Linked DNA regions of Oreochromis niloticus. The protein of the gene in region 1 interacts with the protein of each later gene in a biochemical or structural test. Links are inferred from orthologs where the notes say so. Each region holds a gene or a part of one and is shown on either strand. Other genes may lie near its edges.

The links.
Region 2: the proteins of lats2 (region 1) and MOB kinase activator 1B form a complex in vitro, tested with the Homo sapiens proteins (2 studies listed by BioGRID). The link is inferred for Oreochromis niloticus from reciprocal best matches to the Homo sapiens genes LATS2 and MOB1B.

Annotation. Positions count from the first base shown.
Region 1 is NC_031987.2:27,636,206-27,652,033, forward strand, and holds the start of lats2 (serine/threonine-protein kinase LATS2), read right to left. Parts: upstream 5,712-15,828; 5' UTR 5,483-5,711; intron 330-5,482; 5' UTR 1-329. Other genes in the region: uncharacterized protein LOC102075830, read right to left, coding at 8,934-10,285, 11,017-11,302; ska3 (SKA complex subunit 3), read right to left, coding at 12,304-12,461, 14,624-14,751, 15,121-15,200, 15,338-15,526. UniProt on the Homo sapiens protein: Negative regulator of YAP1 in the Hippo signaling pathway that plays a pivotal role in organ size control and tumor suppression by restricting proliferation and promoting apoptosis.
Region 2 is NC_031972.2:13,999,658-14,015,398, reverse strand, and holds the start of MOB kinase activator 1B, read left to right. Parts: upstream 1-9,351; 5' UTR 9,352-9,640; coding exon 9,641-9,654; intron 9,655-10,706; coding exon 10,707-10,873; intron 10,874-13,895; coding exon 13,896-13,989; intron 13,990-14,784; coding exon 14,785-14,918; intron 14,919-15,741. Other genes in the region: tnpo1 (transportin-1), read right to left, coding at 5,067-5,173, 6,259-6,408, 6,939-7,014, 8,290-8,394. UniProt on the Homo sapiens protein: Activator of LATS1/2 in the Hippo signaling pathway which plays a pivotal role in organ size control and tumor suppression by restricting proliferation and promoting apoptosis.

The DNA.
Region 1 (15,828 bases):
GCACACACTCACACACACAAACTGGCACTCGCTGCCCTACAACCCTCCAAAAGATTCCCTTCAAGCTTGCTGACCTAAATAGATAAAAAGCCTCCAAGAGCACAGATTGGAGGCACAGGTTTTATGATCCCTACTCTATGTCCCTAATTTTTTTCTATCTCGCTTTCTGCTTTTGATTCCTGCTCCCGCTGCGGTGGATGAAGGTGAGGCAGGAATACTATAGGCATTACATGGTGTGATTTTCAAGGCTCAGGTTCCAGCTTATTCCAGGAAATGCAGCTGGTCACAAGGGCATCGTGGAGCCAAACGATGATGATGCCAATCTGCGCCTGTGGGTGGAGAAATGAAGTTAGAGCATGAAGACTGGGCTTCCATATCCCATTCAATTTTATCTAGATTTTCTAAAAATAAAAGCACATACAGTAAAAAACTGTCAACAACTTTAGAAACATGTGAGATCACAAGATACCACACAAAAGTAAGATGTTCTGCACCAATATAAAGTGAAGTAATCCTCATGGACCCGGTTAGACCTTTTGGAGGTCAAATTGACGATCAGCACTGCATATGTACTCTCACATACTTTTATGCATAATCCAGGAATGCTAGAGGTCAAAAAACACCACCTGCACCCCATCAATGCATAGCTATGATTGCACAATTCAGCCCCTGTCAACGCATGTCTCTGATACTTGGTCATCGGTAAACACCCATCTGAGAGCACGGAACCCCAGCATGGGGTCAACACAAATGTCCGACCCTCCCTGCATCAGCGCCTCTGCCTTTTATGCTCCTCTGTGATCTGACATATGACACTGTCTGACAATCTTATCTAGAAGAACATCCTCCGCAAGAAGGTTACTCCGCCAGTGCAGATGGGCTTTCTGTCCGGAGCCTCAACTTTACAAGCTTCTCATCTAATCACAAATACTGTATAATAGCACAGTAGACCTGACTTGGATCATATTAAAGAGGTCAAGACCATTTGGCAATACTAGATTTGATTAATATGATACTTATGTCTCACATTAGTCAATTTATGAACCGTGTCAGTTGAGTTAACAGCTTATATATCAAATCAAACCGTTAAAAGTTAATGAACTTGAATGTGTTTGTCTCGGTCTTTCTTTTCTTTTGGTTCCACTTGAGTAAATCTCGCCTTACTTGGCATAGCATTACCTCTGCAGAGGAGAGACCCTGAAGCTGACAGGCAGCTGGGTTTCCTGTCTAACTGAGAAGCTCACAGGCTTCAAATAGTTTTACAGAAGTAATGCCAGGTCTCCAGATACCAATCTCACCAGCACTGAAAAACTGCTAGATACAATCCTCTTCTGGCAGGTTTCAACATGGCTGTGGTTTTAAACTCATGTCTGCAATTCCAACCATTTTGTGAAGCAATCATCTTTCAATTGATTGGGTTCTATTTCAAAAAGTCTTCTTGGCAGGTATTGAATTACACCTGACAATTATCCTAAAAAGGAAAAATTACTTATGGGCAATTTTCCTCTTTGCCTAAATAAAATAGCTATTTTGTCTATGAGAACATTTTCTGTACTTGATCTACACAGACATGAAGAGAAGCTGCAGATAACCTTCCTGTCTATATGCATAAACAAGGAATGAGTTATGTTCACCGCATGCTTACGTATTAACAAATACCTAAGGGCTTTCATTATATAACGTACAGCATGATGGATTGAGGAAAAAAAAAAAAAGCGACTTTCTGCAGCAGTCTGACCAAGACCAGTGATTATTTCTCCTCCCACAGACCAAGGAGATCAGCAGGTCATCGTACTATTACAGTCAACAGACACGGACACAGAGCAGAACGTGTCACTGTTGGTGAGTTATTATGAGCTCGTAACAACATTACATCACAAGAAGAGCTGCTGTTTGTGTGCTTTCTAAATGTGAATCATTATGCTAGCCGCACAACTACTTCAAATTTAACAAAAAAAGGGCGACAAAATTGCTTTTTATTCTGACGGACAAATCAGTGACATCATAATTCTACCCTCAAATTTAAGCATAGACAGAGTTTAGGTGCGAATCGCCAGACATCCTACAATACTTACTTATTTGGTTTGAGTATTGCAGTAACATATACAATGATTTATCATCTTTTTTCAAATTCAATTATGTCCTCCAAGTTAAATGTTGTCAATATGGTTTTTATCCAGTAAGATGAAAAGTTATCAAAATTAGTTATTACTATTATTATTATATATTTGTGTTTTTTAAAACCAGCCACAGAATGTAAAACAACCCACAATTACCAGGCGGCCACCTATTTTTGTTTATGTTTTTTAATTTTATTTTGTAGATTCAAGAAGGTTACATCCTATTTTTACTCATGACTGAGTCATGTGTTTGTTCTCAATTAGCAGATAGCAGATAGCTAAGTATGTCCAGTATCGGATTTTTGGAGTTTTCTGGTTGAGCTGATTTACTACAAGTTTCCCCGGCTGATGTTATCTGAGGATCGCGGTAGTATTCCCAGAGCATCCCCCCCCAGTTTGGCATACATCTTTTTTAACAACCTAGAATGTTTTATTTAATGTCTAAAAGTAGTCAGTTGAGCATTGGGTGGATTCTAATTTTTTCCTCCTCAAAAACCATTAACATTTGTCTCTGAGATATCATGACCACAACTTTTTTTTGTACTTACTATAGCTGCCAACAGAGATCTTTAAAAGCAGCTACAAATATACCAAATTAAACATCCAGATGTTTCCATCAATTTCAAATGTGCCACAGCTTTGATTCACTGATAAAGTAATATAGTCTGAAAACTTTGAAGTGATGGTGATGCAACATACTGAATTCTTACACTATCCCAGAGACTCCCGTGTGTCTGTGCGGAGGTACAAAAGAATACCTTCAAAAGAAAACACGCCAAAACTAAAATTTACAAGTCAAGTTTTGGTCTTAGGCAATGCCAAACAGAATCCACCCAGTGCTGTGATATTCTATATTTAGATAATTAAAAATACATTCTTAACAATATTATCTTAATCTTATATCCCTCAGCGCTACTACCAAGCAGCTGCAGAGGAAAAAGCTTCCAAACATAAAAAGCTCTTGAACTGCATCCCCAATCTCCTCCTTCTCCTGCTCCTCCTCTCTAGCAGTCTCCATCCCTTTGGGCCATTTCAGGAGGACACAGCCTTCACTGTTTGTACAGATTAAACTTTGCATAGACAAAAACATGCTTTTTCTTTTTACACTGCTGGGTGGTGGGGTAACATGGGGCCAAGCTCCATAAATGTTGCCCCATCTCCGGGATCTCTTGCCTCCATTCCTGCGATGCTTCAGGCGCCGTGTCCAAGCAATGAGCATTCCATTCCACAAGTAAGTACAAGTAAAATACCGCAGCTCAATCACGGGGCAGTACGCTGACCAAAATAACCCAAAACACAAACTACACGGACAGTATCTGTCTATAACTACAAATCTGCAAGAAAAAAAAAGACATGACTCTGCCCAAAACAATGCTCTACACATAACCACCCCCATCACTGAACCTTACTCCTTCTTTGACCTAACCCTAAACCTAAGATGACTTAAACTTCATGCTACACCAACAGGTACTGAGGAAAACTAGTGAAATAACCTGCGACATAAATATTTTTTCATCAATTCCTCAAATATCCACTTTAACAAAACAGACCACTGACAATGTTCTAATCTCTTTTTGGTAAAATAACTTTTTTTGACTTTTTGACTTTTAATGGCACATGTGACACTTTAAACGCATGTTTCTCTTCGTGGACATGTGTTGTTCATAACAAACTTTAGCACACTATACCACAGCTTTGTTTTCGGTCTCACCAAAAACAAAGCTGCCCACTGTGATGCTAAATTGGGAAAGCATGCATTCTGCAACATTGAACCCCACAGAATACTGAGCAACGCGAGCAGCTGGCAGGTTAATACTAATAAGATTGCCTCTAACCTGCCTGAAGGATCTGAGAGAATGTGGACGGTCATATCTCTGCTGTGTTTGGGAAATTGCGAAGCAAGAGGAGGCGGAGGTGGAGGAAAGAACACAACTTCCTAATGGGCAAAGCTGGCCAACAACTAAGCTTTGGGTGGAGTAAGACAGGGGGTAGAGGTGGGTGGGACCAACTCAGTTAATGTTGCAGGACACATCACAAATGTGCAGGCAGAGACAACAGTTGATGGAAACTGGCTGCAGCTGTGAGAGTGCAAGTGTGTGTGTATAAGAGGGAAACAATTTGGCTCTTTCTGTGTGTATCTGATGCACTGCAGCTCAACCCCAAAATCAAACCGATATGTTTTCCCTGTAGCCTTTGGAGTCATCTACCCATCTAGATTGTTTTTGTGTGCATGTAGCCCACTTTTTTACATTTGTCCCTTTAAAACAAATATGGTAGTAGTAATAACATGTAATAATCCCTGCATGCTTCTTACAATCCACTGTGTTGACAACATCACCACCAAAGCATCTGTTTGTATCCCAGTGGTTCCTCTTTGACAGATACCTCTGACGTGCATGACACCACACTGCCGCGCCACCCTAGTCTGAGTGAAACTGGTGTGATTGTTTGAAAATGTGACCCCCCGCCCCCGCTACAGGACAGACTGGCAGGAGCATCAAGCGTCCCTTTAAAACATGTGACTTTGGTTTGCATCACCCAGGTCTGCTGTCACTGCTGAACTAATCAAAGCGCTGAACTGTCTTGACAGACAGAAGTGTGTCAAGCAGAAAGAAAGAGAGTGGGTGAGTGTGTTTTGGGGATAGTAATGCGGTACAGTACACCTGAATGAAACGCACTGTTGCATCAGTGCCAAACTATGCAGGGCCTGAGAGAAGTGAAAATGATAGATTCAAATCAGATGACTCCATTTTCATTTTCAGATACAATATTAAAAAAATATTCTGACCTGTTACGAACTATTTTATTTAGCTCAGTTCTTATTAACTACAAATCTGTTCACTCACTTTAAACAGTGAAATTAATGCAGGATCTTCTGACTAACAGCATCTACAAAGCATAGCTTCTGTTACTGTTAGTGGTCCTCAGAGGAGGCACAAGTTAGGATGCCCAAATAAGATGGACTTTAAATGTACACAAATAAACAAACATTTAAATATAGACTAAACCCTTAAATTGAATTCCCACATTTGCACCAAAGCTTTAAAACTAGTACACAGTGATATTTGTATGGGCATAAAGGTCCGGAAAGCCCTGTTTTAAAGCGCTGGGGCCTTCTCAGCAATATCCCAGGCTTGAGTTGGGGGCTGAGAGCAGCAACACATTCCAATGCAGGGAGAGAAAAAAATGGAGGCAGTCCTGTAAGCTCCAAAGAGGCTCAAACTTACAGAAACTTCCATTTCGTTTTCCATAAGCCTCGCTGTATAACACACCCATAACGGAACGTTTTGCTCAGCAACAAGTCGTGGAAATAAGTCACACCACCACCACTCCCCTCCCAAAAAAAGCAACTCTCAACTTACCATGTGATAGAAGTGGCGAGAAAAACTCAATATGAAGAGAATAAATTCCGTTAAACGGCAACTTTTTTTTTCTTTAAAGAGTCCGGTTCTCGGTTGTTGAGCGCGTACACCTAGCTCAGTGGGTAAATATGATGAAATGAGCCTCCATTTTCTCCCCAGACTCCAGGCAGGATCAGAACTTCAGCACAAAGTTGGACACTCGCTGCATTGTTAACATTCCTCAGGTCACGTGACGGACCAATGCACGTCAGCGGACCTGAAGATCGTCTATTAGGCGAGTGCCGTTCACTCCGTTCACGTTGTTTTAGCTAGGAGCTGTTACCGTTTGCGAACAAATTAAACTTAAAAATGTTTTTGCGTATTCGGCGTCGTACAAATCTCTTTTTGTTGAAGTGCATCAGTAAGTTTTACTTTTGATTTTAAAGACGAGTTAAGTATAGAAACAGAACTGCGGGGTTCTAGTTTACGCTGTAGTGCAATAGCGAGTAGTGACGAGCTGTCGTTTTCACCGCTGCAGTAACTGCAAAAAGCAACGGAGTGAGACGTCTTGATTTCCTTCCTCTGAAATATTCACAGGCGGAGCTTCCTCCAAGCATTTTTCCCTTTGATAAATAAAGTATATCTGCACATTACATTACTCAGTCACCCCTCTCCGGCCTTGGAAATAGTCTTCACCAATGACTCAGTGTGAAAGCAAATAAAAAGTTATAATAATGTCAGTTATCACAGGACAACACAGACCTTCAATATTTTACACGTACACACAGAAAAACATAACGGCGACTCTTGGGTAGTGTGTAAGCTGATGCAATTCCACAACTTTATTTTTTCAGTCACAGGAGCTATATTAAAAGAGAAACTAAACAGGAAACCTTCAGGAGTTTACACATCATGGAAGCACATGCGTCCGTAACAATAATGTCAAACAGCAATGTAGTGTGAGAAAAACATGAGTTTATGAACTTCTTTCATACATGTCAACCTAGAAGCTCTTATTTTAGAGCAGGAAAAACATCAAATAGGAAGTATTGACTTTGTTCTTATGCATGTAAGAACTAAATACAGACAGAATAAACCAACAGTCATTTCACAAAGCCTTTTAACTACTATTAATACTGGTATTTGGCCTTGCTTGATAACAGTCCTCCAGCGGCACTCACTACTTTAGGAACGGCCAAACACCGTTTAAACCAGACTGTAAGACTATTTTAATCAGTCAAAAAAGGGGGCTTTTCGCTCCCTCCATAAAAGAGCAAGCAAGGTCTGCAGATACAGTCTACTCAGTCAAAGACTTGATTTAAAAAAAAAAGGAAGCATGTGTTCATCCAAAGTACATGCACTGCTGAAGAAATATATCAACCCATAGTACTGCTAATTAACTTGATTTTTATAGTTTGTTTAGAGCATCAGCAGTGCCAAACACCATGGCTAATTGAAGGGGGGAAAAGCAGGCAAGTGGACTAAATATTGTGGCTAGATGTCCTTATGGAAGCCCCAGAGCAATACACAGTCAACCAAAACATGACCACTCAGAAAAGACAGACCCATCTGTTGTCTGGGATACCCAGGGGTCTGAGAACAGAAGGCACATTCTGAACCTAACACCGATTATGAAGCATCACCTGTTTAAGCCCAGCACCTGAACTTAAGTGTAGTCTTTGTTATTGGAGCATTCCCAATTCATTTTTGGGCCCTGAGCCAATTGTATTGTAGCCCCTCAAACCAATTACCTTAGGAGAAAACATATGTATAAGTGTAGTGACTTTAGATTAGTTTTGGCAGAAAGTTGAGCACACAAGAATGATGTACCTTAAAAACAAACAAACAACAAAACAATAGGAACACACATTTAGACCTTGTTGACTACAGATGCTGACTCATCATGCACATCTGGCTTAGGGACCAAACCAGGAAAAAGTTCAAAGAATAGTGCATGATGTCAAAATAAATATCTGTAGAAAATATGGGCTGATCTGGAACAGCTTTACAAACTAAGGCACCAGCAAAGCAGCACTACTAAAATATGTAATTCAATATTCAGAGCGGGTTTTCTTCAAATGAAAAAAAAAATGCAGATATACTGTATATCAGTATAAACTTTCCAGTTGGTGTGTCTACATTACTGAAAGGTCAAACCCTTTAAAAAGATCAAAATTTCAGTTGCTGGGTAACCTTTCTGGAAATAACCCGCAGCCTTGTACCATAACTACTGCTGTGGCTCGTGCTCATGGACCAAAGCCTGTCACAGTCTCCCACCGGAGAGGACAAACCAGTGAGAATGAATCCACATGTTAAATGTAGCTGATGTACTCATCTAACAATGTGTTTCTTCAGGCTCAACAGCATGTCAGCATCTGTCACAATAATGTTTACTTCTTCACCAGCACAAAAGATGATTCTTTTTGTATTAAATAACGAGCTTTAACTACTTTGGGGAAATTAACAATTACCTAAACACGTGGCTCAGTAAAAATGGACATCATTGTTAATTACTGTATACAGCTCAAGCTGAAGTCTGATTTTCTGTTCATCATCATCATTACTATTATTGTTATTGTCTAAACCTGCAAAACAAGCAAATCCCTGCTGATGAAGACATTGAAGACATCTGCCATTCCAAGATGTGCTTGAATTGCCAACTTGTAGCTAATCATCGCAGCTGACTGTACTCTTGCTATAAAAAGTACCTGGCTTACAAAAATGTGACTATGCCAAAAAAAAAGATGAGTTTAGAACCAGTACTCCTTCACAAACCACAGGACACTTCTGTCCCTGCACCCCGAACTGGGAGGAGACACCGGGGCCGAGGAGGTGTACTACTTTGTCTGGCATTTCTGTTATTTTAACCTCTTTCTATGCATATTCCTATGTGCACGCTTCCTGATTTAGATGCAGGGAAGCAACAAAAAACTAAATAAAAATTAAAAAAGGTTAAGCAACATGCCACTTCTCTGCAGCAGATCGATGTAATCTGGTAACTACAGTCAGGGATGGGAAAGACACACTTAACAGTCAGAGATGTGGGATCAGTGGAAACGCATCACCCAAACTGCAGTGTGTATACTTCAGCATTTACAAATAGCTAATCAAGACAGATTTCATGAGGGTTTTACTCACAGTTTTCACCCAAAGCCTAAACAAAATAAATTCTTGCAAGTCGGCCATTCTTTGTGAGAGGAGGTGCATAACTTCATGACATTACATCTCAGAAATGTGGTTTCTGTATTTGGAGAAATGGTCCTATTGCTAAGTATAAACTGACCCAGATCACAAGGAGTGACATAGATTGAAAGTTAGGATTATAGTGGAAAAGTATAAATCTATTTGCTGTAGTCATGATGTAGTGTCGACACATAGACACAGAGGGACAGCAAGAAGTGCAGTCCAAAGCAGTAAAGGGAACTGAAGAGCCTGATCAGCATTAAAGGAGCACGAGGAGTTTGTCTACACATCACTCTAGTGGAGCAGCAGAGATGCACAGGTTGTTTAAGGCACAGGCAACTTGCACAATCTTATCAAAGGTTGAGAGGTTCGACGTGCGCTCAGAGGCTGCGGTGAAGGCGCTCTCGACAGGGCCCGTGAGCATGGCGTACCGCTGCTTTACCATGGAGATCACCCTCTCCACATGCCTCTGCACGCTCAATGTCTCGGAGGAAGGATCAGCCAGCAATGAGCCCTCTGTTCTCCCATATGCTTCTCCCTGGTAGCTGCCAGCAATTTTAAACAAGGCTCCACGTGCTGCCACAGAGTCTCCGATGTCCAGGTCACGGCTTGCCAGTACGACATCGCCCGGGAGAAGCTTGCACAAAAATCCACAACCCTCAGCCAGGCTCTTGTCACTGACGTTTCCCAGCACACCCCTAGAGACAAAAGTGACCACGCCTTGCGGAGCCACGCCAATCAGATACTTAAACACGTTATAACTTGACCCCGCCCCCTGAGAGACCGGGTCCTCGAAAGGCACGGTGAAACAGTCTATGATGACGGCGCAGTCAGGATGAGAGGCTCGCAGCGCGGCTGGCAGGTTTTTACGGAGCTCAGCTCTGGAGGGCCAAAAGACAGCCGTTGGCACCAGAGTAGAGGACATGATGTTGACCATCCGGTGAACTGTTCTGGTTACTGTGCCGACTTTCACGCCAAAGCGGTAAGCCAAGTCCTGATTGCGGAGGTCCAGGCGGAGACGCATTAGTGTCAGCAGCAGCTGCTGGAACTTGGAGAGCTTCACGTTTTTCATTCCATCCATGTGAGGTGCCAGCAGCCACATGACTGTCTCTAAGACAAAGTAGTTGGGTAAACCAGTGTAAAACTTCACTTTCTCCGCATCATTCCTTAAGGAGTTCTCTGAGAGAGACATTTTCTCCACAGACTCCCTGAGGGCCTGATTCTCCCTCTTCAGGGCTTTCAGGATGTCATCAAAGTTCACCGGGACATCAGATGTCTGAGCAAACTTTCCTTTCTTGCTGTCACTCACAGACTGATCATCATTATCATCATCATCATCATCGTCGTCATCGTCGTCGTCGTCATCATCATCATCTTCTTCAGTGCTGAGGGAGGAGGAGGCACTCTCCTCTGCAGTGGTCTCCTGTTCCTTCACCTCAGGATGCTCTTCCTGGCCCTGTTCATCCACCGCAGACATGCCCTGGCCCTGGAGGAACAGCAAGGCATTGGCTGCCTCCACCCGTGCTTCCTGTTTGTCCAAGATCTCTAAAGCACCCGGCTCCTTCATCTCTGGGCATAAGGGAGCAGCCGTGAACACAGAAGGAACATAATCCGGAGAACGTGGATTCTTCACCTGTTTACCTGCATGTGAAAAAAAAGAAAAAAGAATCTGATTAAAATTCATCTGTTTATGATACTTGTGATTTAGAGTGCTCTCTCATTTTGCAGCGTGCAATACATAAAATAACAAACAGTTGCTGTTGTTCAGTCAGTACATCCCTAATGAATTTTTCTTCTACAAACAAAATTTAAGCATGAAAAACCTTGCACATAAAAAGACTGCACACACCAGACAATAAAAACAAAACACAAACCGAGCATTAAAATAGCACGTAGCATTAGCGACATCTACTTTCATATATTTAGTAAACGGAACTTATAACACTATCCCAACTGAATTAATTGCAGTAATGTCACACTTTATTTCCATCTCAACTTAGTTTCGTATAGCTTTAAAAAAAAAAAAAAAAAAAAAAAAAAATATTCAAAGGCTTACAACTACAAACACCGCCTTTTTCCAGTAATTTTAATCAGTAAGGGTTTTTACTATGTGATAGTGAACATAAACGTGTTTATTACCCGCTGCAGTTACACCGACTATGCCGCTGTCCCTCCTGAATTCATACAACCTTTCAACGCAACACTGCACTGACAGCAAAAAAACTAAAAAGAAGCCTCCTTGGTTTTCTAGACATGATTGTCTACGTGGAAGCCCAGCAACATCAGTGCGAACTGGTTTACTTAAAAAACAACAACAAAAAACCCCCCACAGGGAGACACTTTTAGGGTTCAGAGTGGTTTTGCCTTCATACCTGAAATGAAGTGAGTACTACAGAGCCGACTGCCGTCGTTCGGCACCCAGCCCTCTCGGTTCACAGCAGCTATCCAGCGCTGCTTCCTCTCGGGGTCCCGTGGGAAACGGTAGAAAGATAAGGTGGTGCCTGGTGTCCTTCTGTTCCTGCAGCCTGCCACCACACAGGTGTGAACCATAGTAAGGCCACGGAGAAGCGTGGAGGTGTGCGCTGCAGTTTGCTGGGTGTTTTGACTCCCAAAATGGTGGCCTACCAGAGGGCGACAAAAAAACTGTAGTTCCGTCATCAACGGCCGTTAACTTTCGTCACTCTGATTGGACAGTCTCGGGACGACGTCATTGAAGTGCGATCTTCACTCACGCCGAGAAGCATAAACGCTAATGTCCCGTAATCACACAAATTTTGTTCCAAATGGTTAATTTTCTCTTTTTTAATTTTCGAGAAGGAAAACCCAAACAACAACAACTGGAAACAACCACAGACAGTACAAAGCAGATGCAATATACCTGTAGCTTATTAGATCCCTCTGCGTTAATCAGCTCTGAAACTGGAGTACAGTACTTGCCTTTCATCCACAGCACACAACTGTGATACAGAGGCTTATTTCAATACAAGTGTGTTTAGACTGCACAAAGATAAAACTCACTAGTTATATTTGAAAAGCCAATTACCAATTTGTTAAAGATCAAGATAGTAGTAGTCACATGTAACACATCACAGCAATGAGCAATAAAAGTTCAGGATTTTCTGATTAACAGTCTCATTTGCTATTTTATTTAACTTTATACAAATGGGTAAGCACAATTAAAAGTGAGCTGTGATAAATGGATAAACCATCTATAGTTTGACAATACATATTCATGTGGCTGAATTATTAACACCCATTGGTCACTGCAAGTCATGTGTTATACTCCCGCTGCAGAAGACTGAGCTTGCTGCTGATAAAAGTCTTTAATCTAACATTGTCTAAATATATATCTTTATGTATTATACGAATCTGTACTACTTGTCTAAACAGCCAGTTTCCATATTATTGCATACAACCATGGAAATGCAAATTATTGACTCACAGGTCCATGTACTATTTACAATCAAAACAAAAACCATATACAATATAAAGGATAGCTGCTTTCTCTGATTGAGTTCATTTGTTGGGACTCTTCTCATAATGTATGTTTTTCTTTGCTGTTTGACTTGATAGATAATCTTTGCCTGCAGCTTAAGTGCTTAACATCTCTGTAGCTTTCATGAGTCCAAATTAGATTTGCGCCAAAGGATGGACAACCTTTAGATGTGTGTGATCAGTCTGTACACAGAGGTGTTCCGGTCTCCTCTCACATGCTTCAGCCTCTTGAGCTCTGTGAGACAGAGGATGTATACAGGAGCCTTGGTTCCGACACTGATGATCTTCTTCAGCTTCTCCATCTGAAACTCTGTTGTTTCTCCTGCAGAGGGCGCCACAGAAAAGGGACAGATTAGAGAAACGAGAGCTTGTTCGCATCATGATTTGCTGGGATACCGCTAAAATAACAAACACACCATGTCAGTAAAAATCTGGCTTTTTGAAATGTTTCGGGAGCTTAAACTGGAGGAAATTTATTTAGTATATAATTACAATGATGTAATTGATGATGGTAATTTTGTAGCTGAAACTACACTGAAGCCAGATCAATGTTAAACTGATGAAACCAGGCAAAGAAACAAACTGACTGTTCTGCTAACAATAAAGATGAACAGCCTGGTGCTGGTAGCAAATGTCCTTAAACAGTTTAACCAAGAGATCTGCAATCAGAGAAATAACAACAAACATCGCTTGTTTACTTTCCAAATATCATACTGTTATCTTGAGCACTGAGTATAAACAATTATCTGTAGGCACAACAGTGGATACAGCCATTATATGACTGTGTGTACTTTGAGAAAATGATGTAGATCTATTCAGCTGGGACCTAATATGCCCATTTCCAGCTTGACATGTTTATTTTTGGACTACATTAAGTTAACTTTGCATGATTCACAGCTTTAAATAACTGTTTATCTGAATGTGGCCCTTTGTGCAGCCCCCACAGTTCATCCAGTGAAAGGAGCAGTTTTAGCTTCCCTCCTTCACCACCATCCTTCCCAAGGCCACTTCCTTTTAAGCCAACTTTCTTCTCATGGGATGCTCCTCACAAACAGAGCTGTGCGCCTTAGATGAGCAGATAAAAGATATTTTCTTATGAGAAAAACACAAGTGAAAAGACAGCATTTCCAGCAGTTTGAAACCTGAGCGTTTGGGCTTATAGGGACCACAAACATCATTTGAAACTCTGATCATGTTTAAAGTGAGCATCTACTATTGTAAGAGTATGTGACAGGAAAATATGAAAACGGGATAGGCTTGGTCGGATATAGATATTATATGTGATGTCCCTACCCTTTGATTTTAAAAATGGGACAAATCCTCGGATTTCAGTCTGATCAGGTGCTTCCCTGATGGTATTGTGTAATCAGTCTGAAGCGTCTAAAAGTTTAACACAGTACAGCTAGTTCTTGCTGCTATCAGGAACAATTTGACAGGTTTATGAATCCTAATTTCTCATTAATCGCCTTTGGGGTTTTGTCAGGAAGGGCATCCGGTGTAAAACTGCCAAATCAAACAGGCGGGGCTACCCGCTGTGGCACCCGCTTGTGACAAGGGAGCAGCCGAAAGCAGCTTCTGTGAATCCAGATTTCTTGTTACTTTAGAAGCTCAGTTTTTTTAAACGTTTAATCTATTATTTGAATCTCTCATGTAACTACAACGGGGTGGATTATACATGATCTCCCATTGAGTAACCAAGGGAAACATCGCCAACACAGACCTGTTCATTCCCATTTGGTTGTTTACTTATGCAAATAGCACCCTCTGCTGCTAATTAACAGTCCAAACTAACAGAGGATGACAACTTTATTCACAGATGGATTTCAGCATAACAGGGAAAACTACTGAACACTATTTTTAAAACAGGAAGCGCTCCTCTGATTTAATGAGGAACTCTGTGGAAGTCCAGTGTAACTGCAGTAATCAAATCCAACTGAACAAAAGTCAAACCAGCAAGATAATTTGTTCTCCAAGTTTGCAGCCAATCTGAAAACCACCGTGTGTGATCACAGGTGTTTTCTAAACTACTGACCACAACATCAACACCACTGCCTCAGTGAGAAGTTTAAACTGCTGTGTCAAAGTCTCAGTTTCTCGTGCACCTTGACTGTGGTGTGTCCTGTAGTACATTAATGTATGATTACATTCTTCTCCGCTACAGTTACAAACGGACCCTCCACTTTTAGTTACAAAGCTATTTAATTCAATTCTGTTTTATTTAGATAGCACCAAATCACAACAGCTGCCTTTAGGTATTTTATATTGGAAGGTAAAGGCCTGCAATATTACAGAGAAAACCCCAACAATCAGAGGACCCCCTATAAGGAAGCACTTGGCAACAGTGGGAAGGAAAAACTCCCTTTTAACTGGACGAAACCTCTGGTAGAACCAGGGTCACGGAGGGCACAGCCATCCTCCATAACCGGAGTTGTTTAATTAATAGCTGCATTCATCCATGATCCTGTGCACAAATATAACACTGACCTTGATACTCTGCCATGAAATTGTTGATGTTGTGAACTGTTTGGTTGAGGCTGTTCAGGCTCATCTGTCTCAGGTAGCTCGGTAAACTCTGGAACTCGTTCTCTGACACTTCAGACAGACTTGCAGATCTGGGAGAGGAATGGATGGAAGGTGACATGTCACAATCAAAGTTTTGAAAGAAAGACTGCAGGCACGCATCATGTAAGAATGGATAAAACTGAGTGAAATAAAGAAATTAACACATTTCATCAGGAGAGACAGAAATAAGCAACACAAAAGTTCAAAATTAATTAAAAATATATACAAATGATATTTCATATCTAATATTTGAAATTAATATTCTTCTTTGCTACCGAGCACCAGCCTGATGTGCAACTTTGGAATGGACACACAATAAAAGCTACTAATTTAGAGTTCATGAATTTAATATTGCCACCTATATCTATATTTCTTATTTTATAACGGGTCTGTCCCTCGTCACAACCAATTTAGTTTACCTGTGTTTCTTTTTGTCAGGCTTGACAGGTGGGTGTTCATTTGTCATGGTTGTCTTCTTCAACTGAGCCTGGGACACAAGCTACAAAATAGGAGGAAAGAGCGCGAGAGGAAATTTCACAAATTATAAATGTTATGTAACATGGAACATGAATTTATCTGCAAACAGCAAACCTATGGGTTTCAAATGTGCTTTTTATGGGAAAAAACAAGACTAACTTTACAGATGTCCTGTGTGACAGAGCTCAGGTCTGGCATCTCCGGGGTGGTTGGCTCTTGGTAGTGTGCTCTTATACGAGGTGTCCCCAAGCTGAACTCCTGGGTGAGTCCATCCAACTCCAGGCTGTTGACAGTGGGCTCCTTAGCCACCTTTTCATTCTCACTGAACTTCAGGATTTTCCCGTTGCTCTGTAAATGACAGGTAAAACTTTTAACTTTAAACATGTTTCATTTACATTTGATAAATCTCATCTGTGCAAAGGAATGAAAATCAAATGAGCAATTTTAGCTCATTTTTGACTTCATGTAAAACAACAATATTTTTGCTAGTAAGATGCTTTTAATTTTTTTATTACATGTTTTTTCTTAAAAAATTTCTTGTGGTGAAACTCAAAATTAAAAAATATTTTGATATATTATGATGGACTGAAAACATTTTTTTAGAAACTATATAAGTTACTATAAGAGGGAAGTTTCCCTTCTGGAGATTA
Region 2 (15,741 bases), on another chromosome or scaffold:
CTGTGTGTCTATGCTAGTCCCCCCCACCCCCTACATACAGGGGCAGTCCTCAAAAAGAGTTTTAGTTAACCCCAAACAAAAATATCCTCTGGTGTTGTTGATTGGAATTTCTTTTACTCAAGCAAAAGAGACATATTTGCATCAAGGAAAAATATAAAAATAAATAAATTTTCCTCATAGTACACTATAATCATGTTAAAATCATGCAGATTTAAACCCAAGCCCGAAACAAAATCACCCTGGTTCTATAAATCCACATATTGCGTATAAGCTCTGTAACATATGAGTCATGGAGGATCATAGTGCTAGTATTTGCACAGTGAAAGCACTAAATAATACATTCCACCTTCTCATCCATGATGTTCAACAGGACTCATCCACTTCTGCTCTAATAACCTTCAAACAGTTGGAAAGCAGTCACACACACGCACACACTTAATATAAGCTGCTTGACAGATGGTTAGTATGCATGCTCACGATATGCTGCAGACTTCAGTCTCTCTCGCATAAAAAAGAAGAAGAAGAAAAAAAAAAAAAGCAGCCTGAGAGGCAGATACAAGAAACGGCACAGCACTGACACCAACGCTGTCTGCAATGTGTTTCCATGGAAACCACTCCCATGTCGGCATTCCTTTTAGAGGACAGATACAGAGCCATCTCCACAAGAAAAAACAATAAAAAGGAGGGGAAAAATATGCTCAGAACCGCAGGGGTGACACAAGATGAGGAGGCTAAGGTTAAATCAAGGTCACAAACAAGACGGGACAAAGGGCATTTATGAAGGCGAAAAAAAAAGTCTTTTCTTTCATCAGACTGAATCTTGATGCCAGCAGGTAATCAACAGTGGCAGCAGTGGAAATTTAAGTGTTCCTTTAAGTGTATAAGACATGCTGCTGTTTAAACTATGAATTGGGAATACAAGCAAACAAAAAAAAAAAAAAAAAAAAAAAAACTAAACAGATGTCATATAAGCGAGTCATGATATAAAAATCTCATGACAGCCCCAAAAATGTCAGATTTATCTTAATGTTGAAAAACATGACTGGGTTACTAATGAGCTATTTAGAAGAAAGATGTGTTCCTTTTTTCCTGCTATCCATATTTACTCAAGATCACTGGGGTTTAAATGTTGGCAAGGCATGATATGTTAACACCCATCACGACTAAATCAAGAATAATGACCAGATTAACTGATAACGCAATTGCTGGTTGCAAACCTGCGTGGGAACCCAAACAAATGTTTCATATTACGCACAACTGCGCTCCAGCACTGCACACAGTGACGTCAAAACATAATACAGGCATTTGTGTGTGTCAAGAGGGAAGTGCAAAGGAATGGGAGTGGCCTGCAAGCGTTTCAATGATATACAAGCATCTAAAGTGTAATCTTCCTTTCAAGTCCTGCTACTGAAGGTCGTTCACTGTGAGAATGCAAGTCACGTAGATGACTGTGAGCCAGGGCAAAGAAGAAAAAATAATAATACACACGTAGTCGACTAAGAGGCTCCTTCAGAATCCTGTCCTTGAAATGTGAATAATGGCACAAATGAGCGCTGAGGTAGCAGAGCATTATCATAGGTGATCGTTTTCCCCTTCGAGTGGCATGAACACCGTTATAGCCACTTGTCAACCTCCATTAATCAAAAACACAGGCATAACCTATATTAAGCTGTCCACCAGCATTAAACTTGGCATCCGACACACCTGCTTGTTTCTTTATATAGAGCATGTAGAGAAGGGCACAGCGTGGTGACACGAGGAGCTCTTCCAGCAACCACTCGTCTTAAACCACAAACAAGGCAGGACTCACTGGTAGGGCAGCAGTTCCTTGTGTTACCAAAATGGACGTCTGTTTTGATTTTCCTGCGTTATGTTATGTGCACACTAAGCTTAAATGAAAGAAAAAAAAAAAAAAAAAAGCAGTGACATCATTACTTGAGAACAGAGGATTTAAAGCTAAAAACTGCATGCTGCAGTTTCACCACGTACAGAAGCTTGTCTTTATACACAGCGTCAGCAGACATTATGTCTCAGCGTGGGACTGTTGAGCAATCAGAGGGAGGATGATTCACTGGGAGAGTCACGAGGATCATCTTGCACAGATACTGTAAATGCACAACATATATTGATCAAATGGCCCAAGGCCAACATGCATTTACACGTTTCTCAAAGTGTAGATTACAGATCGGAAACTGAACACTGGCAGTCACTAAATATATTCCCAAAATAGATATCAAAGTCATGCTGATAGAAATAGTACATTATTTTGGGAAGGCAGTGAATGCTCAGTTCTATATGGCAAATCAAGAGTAGAAACAGCTCTCTTCTAAAACGAAGAAGCTGCCAGATACTACAACAACAACATCAACATCAGCGACAACAATAAGAAAAACTGACTACGTGTACTAATTTACTCAATTTCAGCTCAATATTTAAATCTTGGACTCTAGACTAGCTGATTCACTTTTCCCAATAGTCCCCATCTATTTCACACTAAAACTCTTTACACACCAGATGTATACAATTCGGGCAAATATTTAGTGTGTTAATATTTTTTGGACTTGCCTATTTTTACATGCAGCCCTTCACACCGACTGCGTAATATCGCAGACAAATTTTAAACCTTCATTTCCCCCCTGAATCAAGCTTGATTTTTCATATATTTTCTATGGAAATAAACAGATCTGACCAATCAGAGCAATTAATTTAGAAACAACTGCATTCGTAGTTAAAAAAAACAGTGCACTAAACTAAATATACAACGATGTCGAAATAGTAAAATAATCCAATTTTACCTCAGACACACAGCTCGATGCTGGTCTGGGCCACGGTTCTCTGAAATGATCTTCAAATGTGGTCTCAACTCTGCCAACAAGAGCTCAAACTGCCCCACTGACATCCTGACATATGTATGACAGCATCTCTTCTGACTGGCTACACTGAGGTTTTCATGTCAAACTTTGGCTGAATTAAATATGGGCCTCCACCATACATGACAAAACAAAAAGGAAAAAGAGAGGCACCAAATGTGAAATTCAAAGTCAATACCCACACTAATGTAATATCTCTTTACCTCTTGAAAGCCTACAAGCCATTTTCTGAATTGAGCAGTTTGTATCATATTTCAGGCCTGCTTATATAAAATGTAAAATAACTGTGCATTAGAAGTTGGTGGGGATGGTCTCTGCTGATGCAGCTAAACTTGGAAAAACCTGGAAACTATTCTAATGGTTGTCAAACCACATCTTCATTGATATATACTGAGGTGTCAAAAGTCATCATTAAGGTTAGAGGGGAGGCCATCAAATGTTGTGCTTTTGGAGGAAAGAGATATAGTAATGACTATTTGTTTGCTTCCTAGTTATTCACAGTGCAGCAACTTGACCATTTTTAACAAGAAACATTAAGAAGCTTTCCAACCCTCAAGCTTCTTTTCGAAAACATAGCTGGTCTTATAAGGAGTTTCTACATTTGGTTGCTTGAGTGTTAAGCCTCTTTCACGCACACATACACTTCAAGATGGTCTGCAGCAACTACCTGACCTAAATCTTAGCTTCTGAGCAAGCTTTACAAGAGAGGCTGGCAGCGGTGCTACACAGAGATTTATTTTTTTATGTCACACCTATTCCTTAAATTACTTCAAATCACATTGACAAGTAATAATCCTGTCACCATGTATTTTAATTGCCCTATGACACAGCTGAATTTACCACGACACTTCAACATGCCATTTAATTTATTAATTCTGATGTCATGAACAAGTCCAGCTGACAGAATACTAATGACCTGGGAGTTTATGCGAGCCTGAGTATGGTTACACAAATCAGATGATCTAACAGCCACAACAAATGACTGTGCTGTCATTTTCGTGGCTGCTGCAATGGAGCATTTAGAAGAACGAGCACAGAAAAATTTAAGATATTAAAAAACAAAGAGTGGATCATGGTGGCCTGTAAAGATGAAATATGACCCAACAGCATGTTGGTGGTTTGAAAATCAAAGCATATTTGGATGATGATCAAAAAAGAGAGAATAAATGAGTCAGAGCTGAATAATCTGTAGTCTGCAGCGGCTGCTCCAGCTGTGAGAATGTCTTTAGCTCATCTGGCCAGCAGGATACTATCCAGATGCTGCTTTATAGCCGAGCCAGCTTTTCTTTCCACAATAAATTAATTAATAAACAAATAAACAGTACACGCACAACTGTCTGTGTGCCCAGACAGGGAAACATGCTTTATTACAGCACACATGGGCTGTAATATACAGTCAGAAATGTGTGCACGCTTAATCTCAGCACTCCCCACCCATCCCCAACACAGCCATGGCAAAAAGCTGCCTCTCATTCTCACACTCACACACATGCTTTTGTTAAACTTCTGATGAGTTGAAAGCACAGTAATTAAAGAGGAAGAAATCGGAGTCGTTGGCAGATGATAATATTACAAAATGACTTTAGCGTCATGTCCATATCAAGCAAAGTAATAGCTGCTGCCATATTAATGCTGAGCCCATTACATTTCATGTTGGATTCTTTAAGCTGGTTCGGTACTGTTGTACTTTTGGGGATTTTTTTTAGTAATGAAATGTTGAATTTTGACACTTTCCTGTGGAGCACTATTTATGTGCTACAGAGTGACTGAAACATGAATACATCATGGCTACTCAGCTGCAACATTTGGGTCCATCTTAACCAAGTCAGTTTTGTCAGAAGACATTTTATTAAAATCAATCTCATATTTTTGATTACGGCAGAAGATTTTAGAGTCACCTTGTATTTGTATGATGTAGTCTGTTACAAGATAACTTTAGATTTTTAAGAGCTGTTGAACTGATCTAAGTGATTTCCTGGTTAAGTATAGCTTGCTCAGTTGTAATTGGATTAGTACATAAATTTCTGTGGAAACACGGTGTTAGTGGATTATTACAGGAAACATCATCTGTAAAACCCTTAAGAAATAGTTTTCACATCTTTCACCCATATCAACACATTTGTGACGCCACCAGAAAACATCAGCTTAGTGACTAAAAGAAATTAATTTATAAGCTTCTGATTTGTTTGTCCTCACTTCACATGTGTTGTAATCCTCAGAATCCAGCAGCAGGCAGAGTTTGGGTAACAGCTCAGGCCAATTTTGTAGCTCTCCCTTGGAGGCAATTGTAGTGATGAGGATACCTGTTATCAGAGGGGGCTCTGTTAGATGATTAAACCAAAATCCAATAACATGCACAGGACATAATGAAACGCAGACATTTAATATTATAAAGCACTTCTGTTTATAATCCATGTGAACAGAAGCAACAGAAATGCAGCAAATAAATAGCTTCAAGTTAGCTTAAACAGCTGGACGACTCCTAATTATGCAAATGTAAATATCAGGATTCTGCAATAATAGCAGGGAACGCTTGGGAGCAAACCAGCATTTAAAAGCTGGCCTTTAACATTCTGATACAGTAGCCCACTGAGTTAAGAAAGACTATTTAGAGGCATTTAAAGCCAGGGTAGGGTTTTGCTCTCACTGGATTAAAAAGAAATAGATTAAAAAGAATTTCACAGTAGCCTTCAATCATATTGCAACTGACAAGGTCTGAGAGATCACTGCGCTCTGTTTTCAGGCTTTACAATCTGAGCCAGTTACAGGTCCGTTAGGCCAGATTAGGCGAGCAGGGGTGAAAATCTGGGAGAGCAAACTTTGAGTCCCTGAAGTCAAAAGTCAGCAATAGCACGCTTTTGACAGCAAGTCTATGCGTCCATGCTAATTTGGTGGGAGGGGTTAAGAATGGAGAGAGGGTTAGGGTTACGCCCTGCAGGAGTAGGGCTGTTTATTTCTAGGGATTTTTTCATAGATTTCTGACCACTGGATAAATAAAGAAATATAAACAACACAGAAAAGCAGATTAATTTCATACTAAAAACATAATCATATCCCTAAAAATAAGAAAATAAATTAGCTGCTATCCCAAAACAGTTTCACCGGTTTAATTAGTGTAAATAATATACAACCATCACAACCAATAATAAACTGTTGTGTAAATATTCATTGTTATTTATTTCCCTGCTTTGTCTCCAAATGCTGATTATGTTCCCAATATATTGACCTGTAGGTTCAATATGTCAGCATGTAGTTTAAGCAAATAAGGAAGTTATTTACAGGTACAACAATGCAACGTAGATAACAAAAGAAAACATTTAAACATAAAAGCTATGCATGGATGCTAAGGGCGACATTACAATCAGAAGACCGAGAGGATGAGACTTACCAACAGTGGCCCGAATAAGAGGAGATGAATCTCCGATGTTTTGGAGGCACTCACTCTTGATGAAATCAGACACGCCATTAGGGAAGTTCTGATAGTGAGCTTTCACATTGTTCTTCAGTATCAGTCCACTCAAGGACCGGGTCGGTTCATCTTGGGAGAGAAAAGGCCAAGGGAGGAAATGTGAAAATTGCTTCCCTTTCATTTTTCGCAAGCAGAGCATTACAGAAATTATGTTCAGACATTTATACTGACAATGTGGACAGAATCTATTTTACTGTTTGCTTAAAATGCGTAAGTAATAAATTAAATAAATTCTGCTAATTTTCTTTAAACACTTGTGACTTGTTGCATCTAGGGTAAGGTAGTCATGCAACCGAAAAGGTCTTAACACCACTTAACATTTGGGTCATCTGCTGTGCGGAACAGTCAAGCCAAAAGTTGAGCAGTGCCAGGATTTAGCTTTAAAATTAGAGTGACCCATATTCTGTGTGGCACATCATTTGCAGCAAACATGCCATCAGGTCACCCGAGTCGCGGCCGGACTAACCTGTCAATGAGCAGTTACATAAAAACGACAGCTCTGACATTCACCCGTGCTGCCCGGGTGCCATTAGATAATCTAGGAACACACCACAGACACAACAAAATGACAGAGCGAAGGAGAAGGGTGGACAGCTTACCTTCCGATTTTAACTTTGTCAAAACAAATATCAAATAGTTGTTAAAGTCTGGATACTGATTCAGCTGCTCAAGTCTCTGAGAGAAATGATTAAGGGTTACAAATGTTCGAAGAGCATGTTAAAAGGCTGCTAGGACATCACCACTGCATTCTGTAATTTTATAATAACAATAAAGCCAAAAACAGATTTTTTTTCCCCTCCTCCTCATATAAAGAAGAGGAGTGGTGTAATGTAACAGCATAATGATGTGAGTGTATGTCAGTGTGTGTGAGTGGACTGGGTGTACGCTTGTAAGGGGGTCATAAATGTGTCATTTGGCATGACTGTACTGGCAGATGGCATCTTTAGGGCTATAACAGCAGCTAGTCTATGAGTTAATGAGACAGTCCATATGAAGGGTTACATAAGAAAATTATTAAGGATCAGCATGAAACCAGACAAAACCATAAGGCCCAGCAGCACGGAGAGGCAGATGATAATTGCTCTCCAATGTAAAAGCAGGCAGTCACATGCACACAACACTGGAGCACAGTTGCAGCTGACAATACAGTGCATGAGCTACAGAGGAAAGCTAATAATGCACTTACATGTTAAACCTACACTTTAGTCCTTGCCATTTAATCTAGCCGGAAGAGGTCACCTTAATACGGGTTTGTTTGATAATCCCTGGCATCCTTTGGAAAAGTGACATAGAATAAAGTGTCACAGCGAAAAAGCTTGAATAACCATGGCGTCTTATTCCAGGTTTAACCCAGCCATCCACTCCATTAAACTTCTGTTTTAGAATAGGAGATTTTACTAGTGCTGTTGCACTAGTAAAATCCAGCAATTTCGTGCTTTACATACCATGATACATGCAAGGCACGGACAGATGTTGGGGGGGGGGGGGGGGGGCTTTTCTGTCACCATTAACACCATCACCTTTACATCATTATATCTAATTCTGATGTCTACTTAAATTATTAACATCAGCATGTCTCCGGTAACCTTAGCTTTATCAAGTTGCAGATGATATACCGGGGCTTTAAATATGTTTTATTGTGATGTTCTGCAGAAGCAATATGAAAAGGGAAGGTATATAGGAGGAGCAATTACAAGCTTTACCGTTGCTTGTATTAACCAAGCAAGATAATTTATGGCACTTTTAATGTCAGATGATGTTAGCACGACCTGTTCCGTTTGCAGCGCGTGCAAGTGAGACAAAAAAGGCACGAGCGTACCTGCTTGTAACCGTAACCACCCCGGCTAGTATTAGCTGTCGTTAGCCTGTTGAGTCTGTTTTGTTATTAAACCACTAACAGATTATAACAGATAAGTTATCATCCATATCCGGCTCAAGACAAAAGGATACTTGCTGGACGGATCTCTGTGTGGACGTATCAGGCGACTGAGACTCCTTCAGCAGCTGTAAAATTTGTTGAAGTCCTTGCTCGTCTGGTTTCCACTCACACTCCATCTTGCTGCTGCGGATAAAGAAATAACATAAGCTCACACAGAGGACTTGTCATCGAACTAATGCTGTCTCCCTACGAGGCGAAGTAATTTCGGATTTTTTTTAAAAAAAGCTTTTACCCGTTTCTTCTTTGCCGACCTGTGCAGTTGACTTTCTGCTGAAATGTGACCGTCTGTCTGGGTTTTCAGACATGGGCCTGACACGGAGAGTGGACCCGATTTCTCCCAACAAGCTGAAAAAAGCTTCGGGCTACGGTCTGGCGTTGCATATAACTGGCTGCATCGTCAGCTGACACCGAGCTGGCGGGTCCTAGTGCGCGACAAGTTTTATTTTAAGCCAAATAATCAAACAAAAGATGCTTATTTACAGTAGGAGGATATCTAGAAGGACTCTGGCCAAACATGTTTAGATATATCTATTTAGTCTTTTTATTGAAGACAAAATGGGTTTGTCCTTTGTTCAGAGAAGGTAAGGAGAAGCTGCAAGAGGAAAAATATACTGAAAAATCTGGGAAATGCCAAAGCTTCTCTTATATTTCCAACAGAAATGAAGGCAGCACAGCTCGTGACATTGGCTATGAAATTTTCCATTTTATATTTCAAGAAAACAGCTCCATCTTCGGGCTATATTTTTTATCGAACAAATTCAGCAGCATTTACCCTGTAATTTTAACTTAGCAAGCAGCACCACTTAAATTGGCATTTTTGAATCGCAGTAAAAAACAGAAACATGTAGCCTAGGCTATTATAAAATATCAGTGAATGAATAATTTAAAAAAAACATTAAAAATAAAAATAAAAATATATATACTTTATTTTTCAATATAATATATAAAACGTAGCCAACGTTTTTGCTTAAAATGTTCCTATTCGAAGGAAAGAACAGTAGTTCTAACCCATTTGCTACACTAGATGGCAGCACACAGTAGAGCTGCGTCTGCTCTGCCTTCAAGGTTAGATGAAGAAGTGAGTATTGCAGTCAGTACGCTGCTGCCTCCCAGCGTACAGCAGCTAGTGGATCGCTCTGTGTATAAAATACATTTGTTTCTCCCCTTTTTAAATTAGTGGGTAGTTATTTCTGTTACATTAATATTTATTTCGGATGTTTAACAAGGACCGCACAACTAAGCCAGAGAAGAACCGAGGAAGTGTGAAGCTTTAGAGTTTTTGGCAATCCTTTTGGGCTGCCTTTACTCTGCTTTTATTATCTGTTTGCCAAGAAGGGAATTTTTTCGGCGACCTGAGGAAACATGAGCTTTCTTTTGTGAGTTACAACCGTTCGATACACGCGTATTTTGTCTTGCCATTTAGCTTCGTGTTTGGAAAATGCCAGCTTTGCTGCAACAGCTAGAAAGTTAGCTAGCCGTAGCGTTTCAACGGCTTAGACTACTTCCTGGATGTACCTCGGACTGCTCTGTGTAATTCGCATTGCTTTCTGTAGCTTTCATTTTAAAAACTGTCATCAATACTAATCGCATATTCATCAGTACTTTAAGGCTAGTGGTTACAGTTGACCAAATGAGAAATTTCACCTGCTTAGAACAGATCCATTGACAAATTGCCTCAACAGAGATGGAGGGTTTTGATTGTGGCTTGGATATTTGCTGGTATAAACACTTGGATGCCACCGGCTAATCTAACACAGCCCTGCTACCGCTAAACGCAGCTGTTTCATCAAAGTAACACCACAATATGACGTCGATATTAGCCAGCGATTAAAATAATGTTTGTTTCAGTTAAGCTGAGAAACATCAGACACACCTACTGTGACAGTATGTAGTTAGATTGAAGAAGATGAGGTCTAGATTTGTTATTGTAATATTTCTTTTTGTGTACTTGATATATATGGGTAGGCTAGAAGGAAGTAGTTGATGAAGAACAACAATATACTGATAATAGCAGATACTTATTTTGAATTACAGAAACACTATAGAAATGCTACAGGATATTTTGGATCTGATCTCGCCATTAACGGATTCTCCAATTAAACATTTATTTTGTGTGTCCAACCCACCATACTGTGAGAACTCACAAATTCTTGTTTAATGGGGCAGTGAGATCAGCTGAATACAGTACCTCTACAAATAGCCTCATTATACAGAGAGAGGCCACACTGTTCACGCACACCCACTTACATTCTGCTAAACCCAAACCAAACTTGAGCTCCCTTTGACATCTCTTTAACAAAGTCATAACTTTTTGTTTTAAAAGTCACCTCACATTAGTGTTTGGTGACCTCATGATTTCTCATCATATCTTTCTGTCTTTTGATTTATTCTACTTTTTGTCTTCCTGTTTTATGTGTGACTCACACAGTGGAAATCGTTCATCCAAAACATTCAAGCCCAAGAAGAACATCCCGGAGGGTTCTCATCAGTATGAGCTGCTGAAACATGCAGAGGCTACTCTGGGGAGTGGAAACCTGCGCATGGCAGTCATGTTGCCTGAGGGTGAAGACTTAAATGAGTGGGTCGCAGTCAACAGTAAGCACTGAGTTTTATTTATTTTTCTTCTCTCTTGATACACGCTTTTATTTTAGGTTTAGATTCCTGGCTAAAGGGGCTCGGCACACTTTAAAATTTGTTTTTATATCTCTTAAGTCTTGTTTCTGACACTTAATTAGTCCAAATCATGAGTTGGTTGAGAGCGAACTGTCAGGCTGTCTTTGGCATTGCTTCCAAAGGCCACGTGCATTCATGCCAGAGCAGCTACCGTGAATGTTAAATAGACTTTATTGTCTGCGCTGTGAGCGCCTTGTTTACTTTCCTCTAAAAGGAAACAAATGGTCAGTGGATGCTTAATTCCTCATGCGTCAAAAAGCCTTCAGGGTTGGAGACGATCACTAGCCCAGCCTTTTAACGCGTGATTGTCTGTCAGACGCTTTGTTAACAAAACATTTTTGGGCGTGCCCAATTTCTAGCTTTGTTAACTGCGTCTAAGAATTGCCACCGCTGCTGCACTCGTCTGATATTTGTGCTCTCCAGATTCAGAGGTTAGAAGCAAGGTTGGCTAGTATTGCACAAGCTGTTACAACTTGCACAATGAAGGGAAGTCAGAATAAAAGTGCTGTGAGCAATCACTTCTCCCACCACCAAGTACAAATGACTTTTCACATGATCTGTGTTCACGAGAAGCAGTCCACTTCATGTTTTTAAGATTGTTTTGCTTGTACTGGATTGCAACACAGTCCTGTGACAGCTGTTCTACCCCAGATGGATGAATGGATGGATAGTGACAGTAGAGGGAGAAGTTACGGGCATGCAGCAAAGGTCTCCAGGTACAACTGAACTTGGGGTAGTAATCTGACAGGCATCTTAACCAATTGTCTAGCTGGATACCCATCAGTACACTCTCTTCTCCAGTGACCTCACTTACAAATGGATTTTTAGGATCCTTTTGAGACCTTTTCCAAGCATAAGCGGAACAGTGAGTAACAACAACGTGGACAGAAAAGCGCTAATGTTGGTCAAACTTTTGCAACAGCAACTCTCCACATTAGCCCTAAAAGTGGAACCATGCATGGAGAAATGAGTTGACAGTGAAGTTGTCTTTATTGAGTCTTCAAGTGGGACGAGGAAATGCAATGCAGTTTTGCCTCACCCAAGCATTACATTGAAATCTTTGCTAGGATTTCCCCCCTCAAACTGCTTCATTGTGACACAATGAAGCAATGCAGAGCGAAAATAAAGAGGGTGAAACAGGATTACTGGAAAATAAAGGACCACAGGAAGAGATGGGGGGTTTTTTTATCACTGACTGTTACATTATTTTAGGGTTCTTATTAGCTTTATGAATGAAAAAAGAAAAAGGGTTTGTAAGGTTCATCAATTAGAGCTTAGCATCAGGTATTCCCCAGACTGTTTGGATTTTGGCTTCTGAATTTTCAGTCTGTTTTCTATCATTAAGATAATTCTGCTTTCTCTCACTGGAATATTCATTTCTAGACTGTAATCACATCAGTATGTTTGGTGGCATAAACAGTAATTTGATCTTTTGTCTTTGTTTAACAGCATACAAAAATATTCTATCAACTATGATTGGACAGATTCTTGTTTTTAAAGGAATCTCAAAGTGAACCTGACAAACCACATGCCATGACAACTGGACAGTATGTTTGTTTTGTTTAGTTTTGTTTTTCAATGAGATTTTTAAGTTACACTCTCAACTCAAATGCTGCCAGTGCTTAAAATGGATCTCCCCAACTGATGGAAAGCCAAAGTTGGCTGTATGCCCCTGGGAATGAGTGGTAGCACAGTTTGTGCCAGATAACTGGACTGTGCACTGGTCTACAGTTTGGCCTGGGCGGTGAAATAGGGACAGGCACAGTGCTGTGGGGTAATCTGATGCCAGCAATTGGTGCTGGCAAACACTACAGTTGGTGTCATATAGCAACACTTTTTCATCTCCAGGGCCAGAAACTGCCTTTCTGTTAGCTAATATTGTCCTTGCAGAATTAGAAATGTCCTCAAGTAACCCTTTTCACTGACGCGCTATTGGTGCCCAATTTATAACTATTCCTGCAAATTTTTCCACCCAAAAAATAATATTAATACTAATAGTACCATCACCTAAAGGCTGGAAACATTGTGGGAACAGAAGAATATAGTGTTAAAAGTAATGAAAGGGGGGAGTAGTACAAACATTGCTGAAAGAGGTGTGAAAGTGTCCTTTGGTATTTGCAACGCAAGAGGATTCGACCTGCCTCATTTCTGTCTGCCGTTTATTTGCTTTCTGGCTCTTTGAAACGTCGCGGCAAAATGTCGAGGAAAAGCAAAGTTTTTTAAATGGACTAACAATGAGATGGAGTTGTTGCTGCGAGTAACACAAAAGTACAAAGTTGCAAAAGCGAGTGAGAATGAAAGAATTTGAAGAAAAGCTATCTGGAGCATGTACAAACTGATATTAATCAAAACAACTGCTGTATAATGCCCTCCGCTATCTTAGTTTAATTGGTCACATAACTGCATCACATGACTAAAATGTGTCATCGTTTTCGAAAAGGCTCTGGGTTTGTTGTCCACACTGCGGCGCTAAAACAGCATTTTCAAATGTATCCGCTTTGGAGAGCGTTTTCAAAACGCTGCATTTTCCTTGACCGCAAATGCCGTCTCAGTGTGGACGGAAGGCCAAAATGGAGAGAAAAAGATGCGTTTTCAAGCGAAAACATATGAGTGTGGACATGGCCTGTGTCTTAACACCAAGGTAGTCCCCACACTGTTTGACCAAGTGGGGGTTTTGTGTTTTGCTCTGTTTTCAGTCTTTTGCCTCCAACTGTTACATGCTGGTTAAGTTTAGACACTGAAAATTATATTTAGGGGTATCAAGTGTGTTTAGTGTGGACAAGTGAGTGGTTAGTTCACTATTACCATAACTACATAACTACAGAGCAGAGGTGAAATGAAGCCTTCTGCAAATCACTAACACAGGAGTGTGTGATGCACCAGGAATGAAAACAAGCTGCATAAACACCATTTTAATAGTTTTCTTTTTTTCGCATTTTTCCAGCTGTGGATTTCTTCAACCAGATCAACATGCTGTATGGCACCATCACAGATTTTTGCACTGAGGAAAGCTGTCCAGTAATGTCTGCTGGTCCTAAGTAAGTGATTAAAACTCATAAAACTAGCCCACTGGCTATTCTCCAGTCTTTGTTGTATGATGAGACTGAGCAGGGTCAGGATTTGGAAAATGGACTTGTCTTCATAATTGTAAACACCCTGTGACGTAGATCTTTTTGTTTTGCCCTCCTGCTGTCTCACTGTGTAGATTTGCAGCAGATGTCTTTTATGTGCTGATAAAAAGTTAGATTTACTTCTACAAAGGAAAAAACGCCTATTAGAAAATGTTTGGTTACTAGCATGAGCCCTTACTCATACCAGGACGACTTGTATATTATCTGCTTATTGAGAAATACCACTTTGCTTTACAATTGATTACATCAGTGTTGAATAAGCCCAGATGGAGACCATAACAGGGGTTTTCCTTGCTCAGAATGGGCCTCCTGCTTGGGAATACTCTCACAAGAGCATGATTAGTGCTTGTAGTTACTGATCCACATGCAGCCCAGTTTGATCTCAGCTGGGCTGGACTAATAAAACAATCACACAATAACAGACCTTTCATTTAATATACAGAAGTTTACCTTTAAAGATCCACCTATTAACAAACAAAACACATGATTATGTGTTCATCAGATGCTATGCAAAAGCACAAAGCCTTCACATAAATCATTTTTCTCCTATTTCTGAGAATTTGAAAAACATGAATATTCATTATGCTCAATTAAGCTTTTGTTATAACACTCGGGATTTTCTTCCTTCTCTTTTGAGTGAGCCAAAAATTCCTCTTGGTATAAATGTGCTCAAAGTGTGTTTTTCATCTTTATTTCCTGTAGGTATGAGTACCACTGGGCTGATGGAACCAACATCAAGAAGCCCATCAAATGCTCTGCTCCCAAGTATATTGATTACCTCATGACCTGGGTGCAAGACCAGCTGGATGATGAGACGCTTTTCCCTTCAAAGATTGGTATGATTCACTCTGTCGTTTCTACCAGCCTTTACCTCCAAAGAAAAGTTATCTTTTAATGCACATGCTGTACATCAAACAATTAGGTGTGTGGAGATCCAGAATGCGTACACAGCCATTTTTATTACCAGAGAAATCCATCTCCCATGCAAAATGTATGTAACAGAAATGATGAACTTAGCAGAAATGTAAACTTTTGCAAATTTTCCTAATTTAAATGTAGCGGTGCATTTGTCTTATCAATTTCATATAATAACCTAACACATTAAGAGATCATTCTACAGGATTGTTAAGTAGTAGCATTTGCATACTTACGCAGTTATCAGCCTCATAACTAGTTGTGGCGTGTGCAGTCTAAGGTGGAGTTTTATTGCTATTGAATGGCAGCCAGCAGCCAGTCTGATAGACCCAGTACATGTCAGTAGAAGTGGTGAATGTGCTGCCCTGGAGGTACACAATTCACTCCATTGCCCATGATCTGTTGTTCACTTGGGCAGATTCAACCTCAAAGCCTGCCAACATCTTCAAGGTTCTTCGGAGGTGTGTGTTGTGATGAAGAACCCATTGCACACTTGTTAAAATCAATTCAAGGCTCAGTAAGCGTGCATTCAGTTGTTCAGCATCTGAAGCTTTAATTTACTCGTGCTGGTGTCTTCATCCAGATGTTGACTTGTACGGTAGGATGCTCTCTGTAGAAGCCTCTGTGATCTGCAGCAGTTTAGTTTAGTGTTGAAACTAGCAAACTTTCTGCACTGCAGATAAATACTGTGAACGTGAGGTGTTGCTGTGTTGCTTTCATGACTGCTTGAGCTTCCCCGAGATC